2 linked regions of the Danio rerio genome follow. The protein of the gene in region 2 purifies or fractionates together with the protein of the main gene of each other region. This does not show direct contact. Links are inferred from orthologs where the notes say so. Each region holds a gene or a part of one and is shown on either strand. Other genes may lie near its edges.

The links.
Region 1: the proteins of srpk3 (region 2) and ftsj3 purify together in Homo sapiens (affinity purification with mass spectrometry; 3 studies listed by BioGRID and IntAct, with this or other methods). This does not show direct contact. The link is inferred for Danio rerio from reciprocal best matches to the Homo sapiens genes SRPK3 and FTSJ3.

Annotation. Positions count from the first base shown.
Region 1 is NC_133197.1:3,320,412-3,326,998, reverse strand, and holds part of ftsj3 (pre-rRNA 2'-O-ribose RNA methyltransferase FTSJ3), read right to left. Parts: intron 5,162-6,587; coding exon 5,075-5,161; intron 4,992-5,074; coding exon 4,848-4,991; intron 1,987-4,847; coding exon 1,851-1,986; intron 1,161-1,850; coding exon 958-1,160; intron 870-957; coding exon 755-869; intron 1-754.
Region 2 is NC_133183.1:9,842,263-9,848,949, reverse strand, and holds the start of srpk3 (SRSF protein kinase 3), read right to left. Parts: upstream 4,693-6,687; 5' UTR 3,289-4,692; coding exon 3,153-3,288; intron 2,750-3,152; coding exon 2,629-2,749; intron 1-2,628. UniProt on the Homo sapiens protein: Serine/arginine-rich protein-specific kinase which specifically phosphorylates its substrates at serine residues located in regions rich in arginine/serine dipeptides, known as RS domains.

The sequences.
Region 1 (6,587 bases), on a different chromosome or scaffold from region 2:
TCTGATTATGTTCAGGTTATGTTTTGATTATATTCAGGTTATGTTCAGATTATGGTCAAATTATGTTCTGAATATGTTCAGGTAATGTTCTGATTAATTTCAGGTTATATTCTAGTTATGTTATGAATATGATTAAGTTTTGATCTTCTAGTTATATTCAGGATATGTTCTGATTATATTCAGATTATGTTCCATGTATGTTTAGATAATGTTCTGATTATATTCAGATTATGTTCAGATCATATTCAGGTTATGTTTAGGTTATATTCTGATTATATTCAGGATACATTCAAGTTATGTTCAGATTACATTTTGATTCAGGTTATATTCTGATTATAATCAGGTTATGTTTTGATCATATTCAGGTTATGATCAGATTATATTGAGGTTATATTCAAGTTGTGTTCTGGTTATGTTCTGACTATGTTCAAATTAGGTTCTGATTATGTTCAGGATATGTTCTGGTTATCTTCTGAATCTGATCAAGTTTTGATGTTCAGATTATGTTCTGGTTATACTCAGGTTTTGTTTTGTTCAGTGTATGTTATGTTGTGATTATGTTCTCATTATTTTCAGGTTATGTTCTTATGTTGTTCTAGTTATTTTCGGTTAATGTTCTGGATCTGATTATGCTTTGATTATGTTGAGGATATGTTCTGATTAAGTTCAGATTGCACTTGTTTGGTTTAATTAGCCTGAAACTAATTCAGCAATCCTGAGTTTGTTTAGCCAGTATAGCGGTACAGATTCTCACCTTGCTGAACCACATGCTGGTCTCGCGCTCCTTCCTCTCGTCTTTTCCTTCAAGCTCGACAAGCAATTCGTTTTTATTGTCCTCGTCACCATCATCCTGCTGCTCAAACGACACTCTGCACACAAACACATCAATTTTATTTATAAACGTAGTTTCATATGAACTGTTAATGTTTTCAAAGAGAAACTGCAGCGGAGCCGTACTTCTTCTTCTTCTTGGGCTTGTTTTTGAGCATCTGCTCCTCCTTCTGCTGGATCTCCTGCAGGTCATCAGAGTCCAGGTCTGAGGCCAGAGACATGCGCTCGTCCTCCTGCTCTTCATCAGACAGATGAACATCCTCCTGCTCGTCATCCTCCAGCAGAGCGTCTGCTGCAGACATATCACCCTGAGCCAGCTGATGCAGACCCTGCAGGACAACACACACACACACGCACACAGACAGACAGACACACACAGAGAGAGAGTCAGGGTGAGCAGGATCAGAGTTTCTGCACTATTCTGCGCCACTTTGTAGTATAAACAATATAAGCAGCGGTCACAGCTTTGCTCACGTAGTAAAAGGGGCGGAGCTGCTAGTGAAGGGGAGGGGCTACAGATTAACAGGGTGCAGCAATGGGGTGCTGACCTTTGATTACTTAATTTATTTTGGATTGTGAAAGCAATTCTCCTGCATAAGTGATTATACCGCCTCCTGGTGGTGAACGTGGTTATTACGATTATTATTTGGTAGTTTGCGCATTTATTCGGCAATTTGGCAACCGTCAAATGTGGTCTGGATGTGGTTTGAATTTCCGGTTAGTAAAATCATTAGTGTTCCAATTGGGACGACACTACATTCATACACTATGCTGTCGAGTGTGTGAGTACAAAGTGCATAGTTCAAAAGTATCTGGATGCAGCCTCGATTACGCAAGCTGAAACTGCAAGTCTTGAACTTGCAATGTCAGACACAATGCGCTCAATGGAGCTATTGACGTCACTGTGAGGGGTGGGGTTAAGTGTGGGCATCGGATGCAGCGAAGACTGCAACTGCACCAGGTCTGTGTCCAGACCACTGCCGTATAGTTTGTCATTTGGGATGCGGTGCTTTTCTTGCCTGGCTCTTCCTGATGCTGCCGAGGCTGAACATGGAGGAATCGCCAGCGTCTGCGATCGACACTCCTGGAAGATCCATCTTCAGCTCCACACGCTCCCGCTGCTTACGACGCTCCTTCAGCAGCTTCTTCTTCTTCCTGATCACACACACACAGACACACACACACATTTGGTGAAAAATGAAAGGCTAATGTTGTTACTAGCTAAAAATAAGTGCTGAACAAAGATTAATTACATCCGAGTTTGTTTTGATAAAATATTTGTGTATTATATATTTTTGATATGCATATGGGATACACACACACACACACACACACACACACACACACACACACAGAAACTATATATAAACTAAATTATGCAACAATTTTAGCTAATATTATTTTATCATTTCACATTTTAGATTTAAAAATAAATTAATTTAACATTATATATAAACATTTCCACAAATATATGTTGGCCTGTGTGTATTTATATATATATATATATATACATAATATATATACACAGTACACACACTTAGGGCCCTATCCTACACCCGGCGCAAGGCAATTGTTGCTTCAGCCTGATGCAAGAGTCGTTTTGACGTTTTGCAGCACGCAGTTTAAATAGCAAATGCATTCGCGCTCTATGGCACAGCGCAACTGGCTCTTACAGGGAATGGGAGATGAGGCTCTGATTGGTTTATTCTCAAAACACACCTATAACTCATTAAGAGAATAAGCTCAACCCTGTTAAGGCTGATTTATACTTCTGCATCAAACACCGGCGTATGCTACGGCGCTGACGCATAGCCCTTCACCATGGCCGTAGGCGTCGCTGACATGCACCTCTCAAAAAATGTAACTACATGTCGCAACAACGCGTTGCGTAAGCTCTGTGATTGGTCGGCTTTGTAGCGCTGACGAGTCTGGGCGGGACCGAGAGCCGCGCGAGCGGCGTTAGCCCAAATGGAGCGATTGTTTACAAGTGTGGAGTCCCGTGAAGGAGCTCCGGATGGAAAGTTTTGTTTTGTGTTTACCTCATAGTTAAAGTTGCTGCACGTCCGCCGGTTCCTGCCTCAAAATAAGCGAGTTTGAGTCACTTGTACATCCAGGAAGTGTTCAGGAAAAGCAAAACAGCAGCGAAGAAACTCGACACAGAGGAACATTAACACCTCACTGCCAACTAGCGTTTCTGAAGTGTTAATGCAGACCAACAGAGACAGCGCGCAGAAGTATAAATGCACAGCTAAGCGCGTTGGTTGCGCCGGTCACTTGACGCAGAAGTATAAACCAGGCTTTAGACCATGCGTCACGGCGCAAAGCGGATTTTTCCGTACTTAAAAAAGCAAAAGCGGATTCTGACACGCCCTTAATGCTTTTGCGCCCTGCACTTTGCGTTTGGATGGTCAAGATAGAGCCTTTACGGCTGATTTACACTTCTGCATTATGCATATGCTCCGACACAGCTTTCGGGTGGCATAGCTCTCGCCGTGGCTGATGCTGACGCTGACACAAACCTCTCAAAAAAAAATGTACGAACACCTCGCAACGTTGCGTAACACAAGCTCTGTGATTGGTCGGCTTGGTAGCTGTGACCAGTGTGGGTTAGACCAAGGGCCGAGCGAGAGCTTTCATTTAAAATCTGTTATTTGTCATCATTTGTCGTATATTATTTGTTTAGTAGATTTTATTTTCTAGGGCGAAGCATTGGCGCAGTAGGTAGTGCTGTCACCTCGCAGCAAGAAGATTGCTGGGCCGAACCTCGACTCAGTTGGCATTTCTGTGTGGAGTTTGCATGTTCTCCCTGCGTTCGCGTGGGTTTCCTCCAGGAGCTCCGGTTTCCCCCACAGTCCAAAGACATGGTGCAGGTGAATTGGGTAGACTAAATTGTCCATAGTGTATGAGTGTGTGAGTGTTTGAGTGTATGAGGGTGACAGGCCCAGACGACAGGCCGGCCGGAAGGTGTAAAAAAGTCCTTATCACATGGACAAGTCTAAATGGAGGACTTGTTCCAAAGAGCCAACCCCGCAACCATAACGCCCTATTCACACGGGGCTTCAGCATCAACGCTTGACAGAGGGCGTGTCTGAAGTTGGAGCTGAAACGATCGTCATAGAAGCGTCAGCCAATGAAATTCAGTCAGCAATAGGCCACTGTCTGAGCTGGTGTATTTGCATACAGCGATCTGATTGGCTGACGCTTCCGTCGGCGCTTGAAAAGTTGAGCTGGTCCCAACTTCTGCAGCGAGGAACGCTTCTGAAGCGCCGCCGACGGATCCACAATGCAGTTCGGCAACGCCTGACGTCACCCATTCAAAGTGAATGGGAAGCGTTGACGCTGACGCCCCGTGTGAATAGGGCGTAAGGGACTAAGGCCAAAGAAGAAGAAGAGTAGATTTGTGGTTTCCATTTATCATTTTCTATTTATTATTTATTCATATAAATCTATTAATTCCATAAACAATGTGTAAGTTCATAAAAAAAGCTTATAAAAAATCTGTTATTTGTCATTTTTTTCATATATTTTGTATATATAATATATAATTTGCATATTTGTATTTTTTATCTATTATTTATTATTATTATTATAAATCTATTGTTTATTAGTTTATAAAAAAAAGTAAAAAACTAAAATAACAACAACAACAAAAAAAATCACCTAAAATAACGTGAAAACAGGATAAAATCTTCGCTAGAACACACATCCATACATCTTGTTATGGCCATTTTGTTTTATTGCTTAAAAATATCAACACTCTTTGGTAAAATTGCGCATTGTTGGGTTTTCTCGTGTAAATTCAGCATTTCAGCTGTGACATTTACATAAATTAATTAACATTAACTGAACTAAACAGAACTTCCAAGTGTAACAACTGGCCTGAAGTGGTTTCAATTTACTAGGACTTCAATGTTAAGCTGCTTTAACACAATCTACCTTGTAAAAGGCGCTGTAGAAATAAAGAATAAAGAAAATTCACATAACACCAAAATAATCATCAAATGCTAAAACTGTACCGTTTGAGCTCAGCAAACTCTTCTGCTTTCAGCTCTGTCAGCTTTTTCTCCATCGCCTCGTCTTCATCTTCCTCCTCTTTCTTCTCTTCTGACTTCTTCTTCTTGCTCTCCTTCTCATCGGTGTCACTCTGCTCATCATCCGAGCTGAACACCCATTAAAAATAAACAGTTGATAATTAAACGTGCATAAATAATTACGCATCAAGCAAACTGTTACGATTGCTTACCTCGCTTCCTGATCGAGTTGTTTGGCTTCCTGTCGCAGCTTTTTCGCTAGGAACTTCCTCAGCTTGGATCTCCATGACAACAGCAGACTAACAACAACAACAACACCACAACCAATCAGAATTCAGCTCTTCATATATGGTCGTCCTTATAGATGCAACAATCAAAAAGCCAGAATTCTGGCTTTTAGCATCTGATTTGTTTTTAAATGTCTTTAATGATTGCAAGTGAAAAAGACTATGGATCGGACTTTTTATATTTTAGTCGGCTTGGATTTTTATAGGCCTCAAAAAACGCTAGATTTTATGCATTTCAACTTCTCAAAGTTAAAGTCAATTTTATGTTTATTTTGGAATAACATATTAACTTGTATATCATATAATTTTCAAAAAATATAAATAAACAAATGTGATAGAAGCAGTTTTAAATGTATTCAGTCTTTTGAAGTGCTGCATTGTTAAGACGCTGTGTCAGGATAAACAAACTTTTATTTAAAAACTTTTAGAGGCGCTCATTACTGTTTGTACCAAAGCAGTGGACTAATTAAAAGAACTTGGGAGGCGGGGCAAAAGATAAAAGAACTCAAGATAAGAGAACAGGGGATAAAAAGAACTCAGATAAAAAAAAACTTATACAAATACAACTCGAGATAAAGACAAGACGAGGTAAAAAGAACAAAAGATAAAAATAACAAGAGGTAGAAAGAACACGAGGTAAAAAGAGCACGAGATAAGAACTACAGGTAAAAAAATGCAAGGTAAAAAGAACTAGAGGAAAAAAGAACGCAAGATAAAAGAACACGAGGTAAAAAGAACCCGAGACAAGAACTTGCAGTAAAAAAAAAAAAAAGCACGAGATAGAGGGGAAAATAAAGATAAAAAGAACACAAGGTTAAAAAACTCAAAATAAGAACTCGAGGTATAAAGAACTCACCGTAAAAAGAACACAAGATTAAAAGAACAAGGTAAAAAGAACTCGAGATAAAAAGAACGAGATAAAAAGAACACAAGGTAAAGTACACAAGGTGAAAAGAACATGAGGTAAAAAGAACACAGTGTAAAAAGAACACCAGGTTAAAGTAACTTGAGGTAAAAAGAACATGAGGTTAGAAGAACGCCAGGTTTAAAGAACGCCAGGTTAAGAGAACGCCAGGTTAAGAGAACGCCAGGTTAAAAGAACGCCAGGTTTAAAGAACGCCAGGTTTAAAGAACGCCAGGTTTAAAGAGCGCCAGGTTTAAAGAACGCCAGGTTAAAAGAACGCCAGGTTTAAAGAACGCCAGGTTTAAAGAACGCCAGGTTTAAAGAACGCCAGGTTAAAAGAACGCCAGGTTTAAAGAACGCCAGGTTAAAAGAACGCCAGGTTTAAAGAACGCCAGGTTTAAAGAACGCCAGGTTTAAAGAACGCCAGGTTAAAAGAACGCCAGGTTAAAAGAACGCCAGGTTAAAAGAACGCCAGGTTTAAAGAACGCCAGGTTAAAAGAACGCCAGGTTAAAAGAACGCCAGGTTAAAAGAAC
Region 2 (6,687 bases):
ATAATATTCATTTACCTGGCAAATCTAGACAGTGTAAGAGTTCGCAAAACATGTTTCTTGTAAAATAAGGGTTTGTACTGTATTCATTTATTCATTTTCTTTTGGCTTAGTACCTTTATTAATCAGGGGTCGCCACAACGGAATGAACCGCAGGTTTGTACTGTTGGTGTCTATAAAACTAGATGCATAGTTTGTATTTTATTACACACTTGCTCACACAGAAGTTAAACAGTAACATACAAATGTGGGCAGTCTTTCATGGTCATCCATTAATAGGTGAAGAAATGCAAACTTGACAAAATTCTGTTATAAGGCGATGTGAAAAGAGGCGGGATTAAACAAGACGATTAGGCATTTTTAAAAGTGAGCGATTGGTCCATATTTTAAATTTCTGTCCAAAGAGGTCATGTTTGCGTAAAACCAACTCATGCGATTTCGCAGGTCAGAGTTCACCAAGCTCGAACTTTGCAATGCAGCGAACTGCGAAACTTGCTGCATGAGCTTGTGTTTCTGGTCTGACGCATTGGTGTGCATATGAATGGAAGTCTCTGGGGAAAAATGTCCAGTGTGACTGTGGCATTACTTGGTTTTCTGGAAACATCTTTGCAGCTGTGTTGAGGCAAGTCGGAGTTAAAATCTGCAGGGCACCATCCCTCCAGGACCGAGTTTGGACACCCCTGCTCTTTACAATATATATCATCATATTGCAAAGCTCAATTTCGCAGTAATACCAATGCAGTTTAATCATTTGCTTTATTACTTTTTTATTTTGTATTGAAATTTAGTGTCTGCCAAAATGTAGCCTAGTTGTGACTTAAAGAGACACTTAGTTACAACTTACACACTACTAAGTATTTTTGTGTTGCACCATTGGACGTAGTTTAAAAGTAACGCTGTTCCAACTAAATATTTACAGCAGCCCCCCAGTTTTTGTGTTGTACTGAAATTCAGTGTCTGACATTAATAATTAGCCAAAATAAGTGAATTTTAGATGTTAATCTGTGCGCAACGACACCAAAATAATCATATCTACAAAATATTTCCTTAAAGTAACACTTTTTTTCAGACTGATTGATTAGCACAATCTCTCAAAACGTTGTCTGATTAATGAGGTACATCAAAAGAATTATTTATAAGCATTAAGCCTACATAGTTTTTTAAACATTATAATATTGTTCATTAATTTCAGTGCACAACAACTTAAACTGTATATGTCATGCTGACAATATAAATATAATGCCTTCTTAAAATATGATACTAAGAGAATGTGATAATTATGTAGAGGAAATAAACAACAGAGCGTAATATGAGACGATAGACTTTTTACTTTGTCCATACTATACATTTTGTCATTTTGCACAGCCCTATATCATTGTTGTTATACTTTAATCATTTGCCTTTTTCCTTAGGTTGTTTCATGTGTGCCAAAATAATAATTACCCCAAAAAATTGTATTCTGGACAATACCTGTGCCCAATTTGCGTTTACTATCCACAACACACATATATGCAGTATGTACCTGGTGTGTGTTGTTCAGATTTTTCAAAATTCCAACTTTCTCGCATTTTGATACCACAAAATTAATGATAGAGCATAATATGAAACGGTAAACTTTTTATTTTGCTCATGTGATATATATTGTCAAATTTCACAGCCCTATATCAATTTAATACTAATGCAGTTAAATCACTTGCATTTTAATATAAATATAATGCCTTCTTAGAATATGATACTAAGAGAATATGATATTTATGCAGGGGAAATAAACAATAGAGCGTAATATGAGATGATAGACTTTTTATTTTGTCCATACTATACATTTTGTCATTTTGCACAGCCCTATATCATTGTTGTTATACTTTAATCACTTGCCTTTTTCCTTAGGTTGTTTCATGTTGTACTGAAATTTCATGTGCCAAACTAATAATTACCCCAAAAAAAAATTATTTTGGACAATACCTGTGCACAATTTGTGTTTACTATCCACAACACGCATACATGCAGTATGTACCTGGTGTGTGTTGTTCAGATTTTTCAAAATTCCAACTTTCTCACATTTTGATACCACAAAATTAATGATAGAGCATAATATGAAACGGTAAACTTTTTATTTTGCTCATGTGATATATATTGTATTTAATTTAATTAAATTTAATACTAATGCAGTTAAATCACTTGCATTTTAATATAAATATAATGCCTTCTTAGAATATGATACAAAGAGAATGTGATAATTATGCAGGGGAAATAAACAATAAAGCGTAATATGAGATGATACTTTTTATTTTGTCCATACTATATATATATATATATATATATATATATATATATATATATATATATATATATATAGTAATATTGCAAAGCTCTATATCAATGTTATATTTTAATCATCTACACAACACACATACATGCAGTATGTACCTGATGTGTATTGTTCAGATCTTTTTTCCAAGGATGTGTTAAAATAGGCTCCACGTGCATGGACCAGGAGGGAGGGCCATGAGTCAATATGCTTATCTGGAGAAGTGACTCCCATGGCCACCCTCCTATATATTTTTAGCAGCATCTCACAGAGCAGAAACCCAGATCTCGATTTTGCCCAGTTGAACACACACACACACTCACCCCAGCTCCAAACTAGAGATCTCCACTGCCGCTGCTACTGCTGCTTTGCGGTGCTTCTTGTTTTTCTTCTTCTGCTTTTTGCCGTGGCTGTTCTGGGGAAGGTTGTTATCACTGCTGGATACTGCCATGCATCAGAGAGAAGAATATCACATAACATAATATATATTAGACATGCTGTTATGGACGCCCCACCCCCAATTCACTACATATGAGGGCAAACCACTAGCATGAATTGAAAATATCGAGAATTTCACATCGACAATAGGCTATATGACTTCATTAATCAACAATCAAACGAATGATTCAAACGAAAGGAATAATCTGTGCATATTCAAACATTAGATCCTCTAAACGTGCTCGCGCTTAGCTTTACCGCTAGCACAAGCTCCGGTCATCACAACAAGCGTCATATTATCCCTCGAACAAGCCGACATTGTTGCATTCATCATCAACACACATAATACATCCACAGGAATTAACGTGATACTGCTTGTTTGGCTGTTTTTTAGTAAAAACATTCTCACCGTTCATCGATATCATCGGGACAGCTGTCACCTCACGCACATTCGCCTCAGTTGGTTCTGAGCATGCGCACTGAGGCTCAGCGCTGTATTGACAGCAGCTCGTGCGGTTGAAATGGGACCGACTGCACGAGGACATTTGGACATCAGAGGCCGCCACTACTGTGAGTAAATATCCTCATTGGTAAACTCTAATAATATGCACACCAAATCAGCTTATTTATGCTATATTTAGCTACTTTATTTTCTCAACGTCGTACTGACATTATTGAACATCCAAAAAACATTGCTATTTTCCAACCGCAGAGATTTATACAGCGAGAAGATACTTCATAAGATACATTTTTTAACTTCCATATTCAATTATAGTTTTATCGAGTTTTTTATAGGGAGTTTTTTCTCCTAATCTTAAGAAAATAGGCTATTTATAATATAAGATATAGGCTACAATAATTTTCATAAAATTGTAAACACACTTTGTATTGCAACTATAAAAAAATCATTAAAAAATGTAATTCATCTTTATTTCTATAGAATTTTTACAATGTAGATTGTGTCAAAGCAGCTTAAAAATAGAAGTTCAAGTAAACTGAAATAGTGTCAGTCCAGTTTTTAGAGCTGAAGTTTGGTTTAGTTCAGTTCAGTGCAGTTTAATTTTACTGCTGAAAGTCCAAACACTGAAAAGCAAATCCATCGATGCGCAGCTCCACAAGTCCCAAACCAAGCAAGGTAGTGGCGACAGTGGTGAGGAACAAACTTCTCCAATTGACGAAAGTGAAGGAAAAAGGGGAAAAAAACACTTGTAAGATTGAACTCTCCTCAGCATTGACCTTTTTCACTTTATTTTCTCCAAAAGTTTTTACTTTAAATAAGTAAATTATAACTTATTTCTACTGTGTTTAGCTACAAGTAATCGGGAAAGACCTAAACTCCACTGACAAAGGTCCAATATTTGTCCTATTTATTCCATGATAAGTTATCAAAATAACCCATCGAAAAGGCTTTAAGAACAAGCGAAACTTTCACTGTATTGTTGTTATAGAGAAAACAATTCATAAGCAACTTTTATTCTAACTCTTGGACCTTATTCTTGAAAAAAAGTTGTGAAGAGCCAAAAGTGGTCCATATTAATACTTATTAGGTTATTGTTGTTATCAATGAATTTTCAAATGTACTTTTTTACGAGAACCTAGAAAAATCGTGAAGCATACATTATTATTGTTATGGTTTTTTGTTTTTTATTCAAATGGCCAAATTCTGAAACTGAGGAAAATTTTATGTGTTGGCCAGTTTTTTATTAGCCCAATAAATGACAATAAGCCACAGTTTTAAATGTAAAACTTTAACAGATTGTTATTTTTCTCCAGCCTCTGGCGCCTAGACTGCAGAAGACGTTTGGCCAGAAGAGAAATTAGCCGTGCCCAACTGAGCCTGGTTTCTCTCGAGGTTTTTTAATTCTTCACTTTCTCATATCAAGGTTTTTATTGTTAACCAAAAATAGCTTAACCATTAAAAATGTATTGCATGAACTATTAAATAATAATATTTTGGCTAATTGCAAATGCAACATTTAACTAATAAAAACTACACTGTCAAAAATGCTGGGTTCCACACAGTTTATTCATGCTGTCTCAACACAAGTCGATTAAGTTAACCAATTTGTTTTTACAAATTTAAGTGGATTTAACTTAAAACAATTAAGTTGTCCCATTTCGGCTCATTTTAAATAATTTGAACAAGCAGCAAAAGTTCTTTTTTGAGTTTATACAGGCATAAAAAACTAATTAAACAGCATACTAAAATGATAAATTAACCCTTATGTACTGTTAGGGATGTTTTAATCCACTCTGAAATGATTTTGTGTCTATAATTTGCTCATAAACTTTTCTGTGTTTTGGCTAGCAGAATGATTTTTGCTGACAAATCTTTTGGCAGATATTGTGAAAAAAATGCTTTAAATTTTATTTAATTTTTTTAAAAACTCAACAATACTCTCCAGGCAAATTTACTACCCTTTTGCTATGTTCAGGATAAAAACATCCACTAAATTAAACTACTGTAAGAATGCATCAGATAAATATTTTTAACATTTGTTTTTGCATAAATCTGTTAATCAACCTCAGTCCTGATCAAAACTACTAAATTGTTTAGAAAATACATAATTTTATGTGTTTTTTCACCAAAACAGTGACATCATTTATTAATTTGTGTATTAAAGAGTTAAAATCCTGTAATTTTCTAAACAATTTAGTAGTTTTGATCAGGATTGAGGTTGATTAACAGATTAATGCAAAAAATTGACAAAATGTTTATCTGATGCATTTTTACAGCAGTTTAATTCAGTAAAGTGTTTTCAGCTTAAACATAACAAAAACGTCGTCAATTTGATTGGTGCACAAGGGTTAAATTAAATCCGAAAATATATAGGCCTAAATTCAGATATAAAAAACTCTGCCCAAGTTGGAAAAAAAAGTGAGCATGTCCTCTTCACAATATTTACAGGCACATATACACATTTATGGAAGTCAATGGGGCAAAAACATCCACCACCGGTAAAATATGGAGAAAAAAAATAAAAATCTAACAATCTATCAAAGCCAATGTTGTTACTAATCTTTCACATGCAAGACTGTGTTATAAGTAAAAAAGCCCACGTATGTATTTTTATGTATTAAAAATACATAATTTTATGTGTTTTTTCACCAAATCAGTGACGTCATTTATGAATTTGCATATTAAAGAGTTCAAATCCTGTAATTTTCTAAACAATTTAGTAGTTTTGATCAGGACTGAGGTTGATTAACAGATTTATAAAAAATAATAATTTTGAAAAAAATACTTATCTGATGCAGTTTTACAGCAGTTTAATTCAGTGAATGTTTTCAGCTCGAACATAACAAAAGGGTAGTCAGTTAACAGTGTACAAGGGTTAAATTGAAAAAAGGAAATATATATACCTAAATTAAAATCAGCCATAGAAACTTAAATACATTTTTTTTAAATCCCGAAATGAGTACAAAAATAAACATATGTAACAAGCAGAAGCAAGATATTTGTCATTTCCTTTAAAAAAATAAATAAAAAAAATAAATAAATAAAAAAGATTTTGAAACATCCATTGTTTTAAAATACTGTTCATATTCTTTAGATATATAACATTCAAACCAGCAAGTTTTCATTGTTAAAATTATAGCTTTATTTGTTTCCAGATACAAATGATCCATTTCACTCATGTCAACATTTTGGCTCGCAATTTCTCCTGAATGGAGACAGTAACTCTGTCCAAGTTGGAGGAGAAAAAAAAAAGGAGCACGTCCCCTTCACAATATGTACAGGCACATATACACAATTGTTAGCAAACTATACACAATACAAATACAAAAAGAGTCTTTTACTGACTGGATTTCAGCTCTCTTTTAACCCCTCAACTTCATTAGAAAATTACCATATATTATTATTATTTTTTTAATTATTACCCCTGTATAAAAGTCGTGTAAAACTCGAGCGGGGCGCCAGGGCTCCATATACACCAGCAATT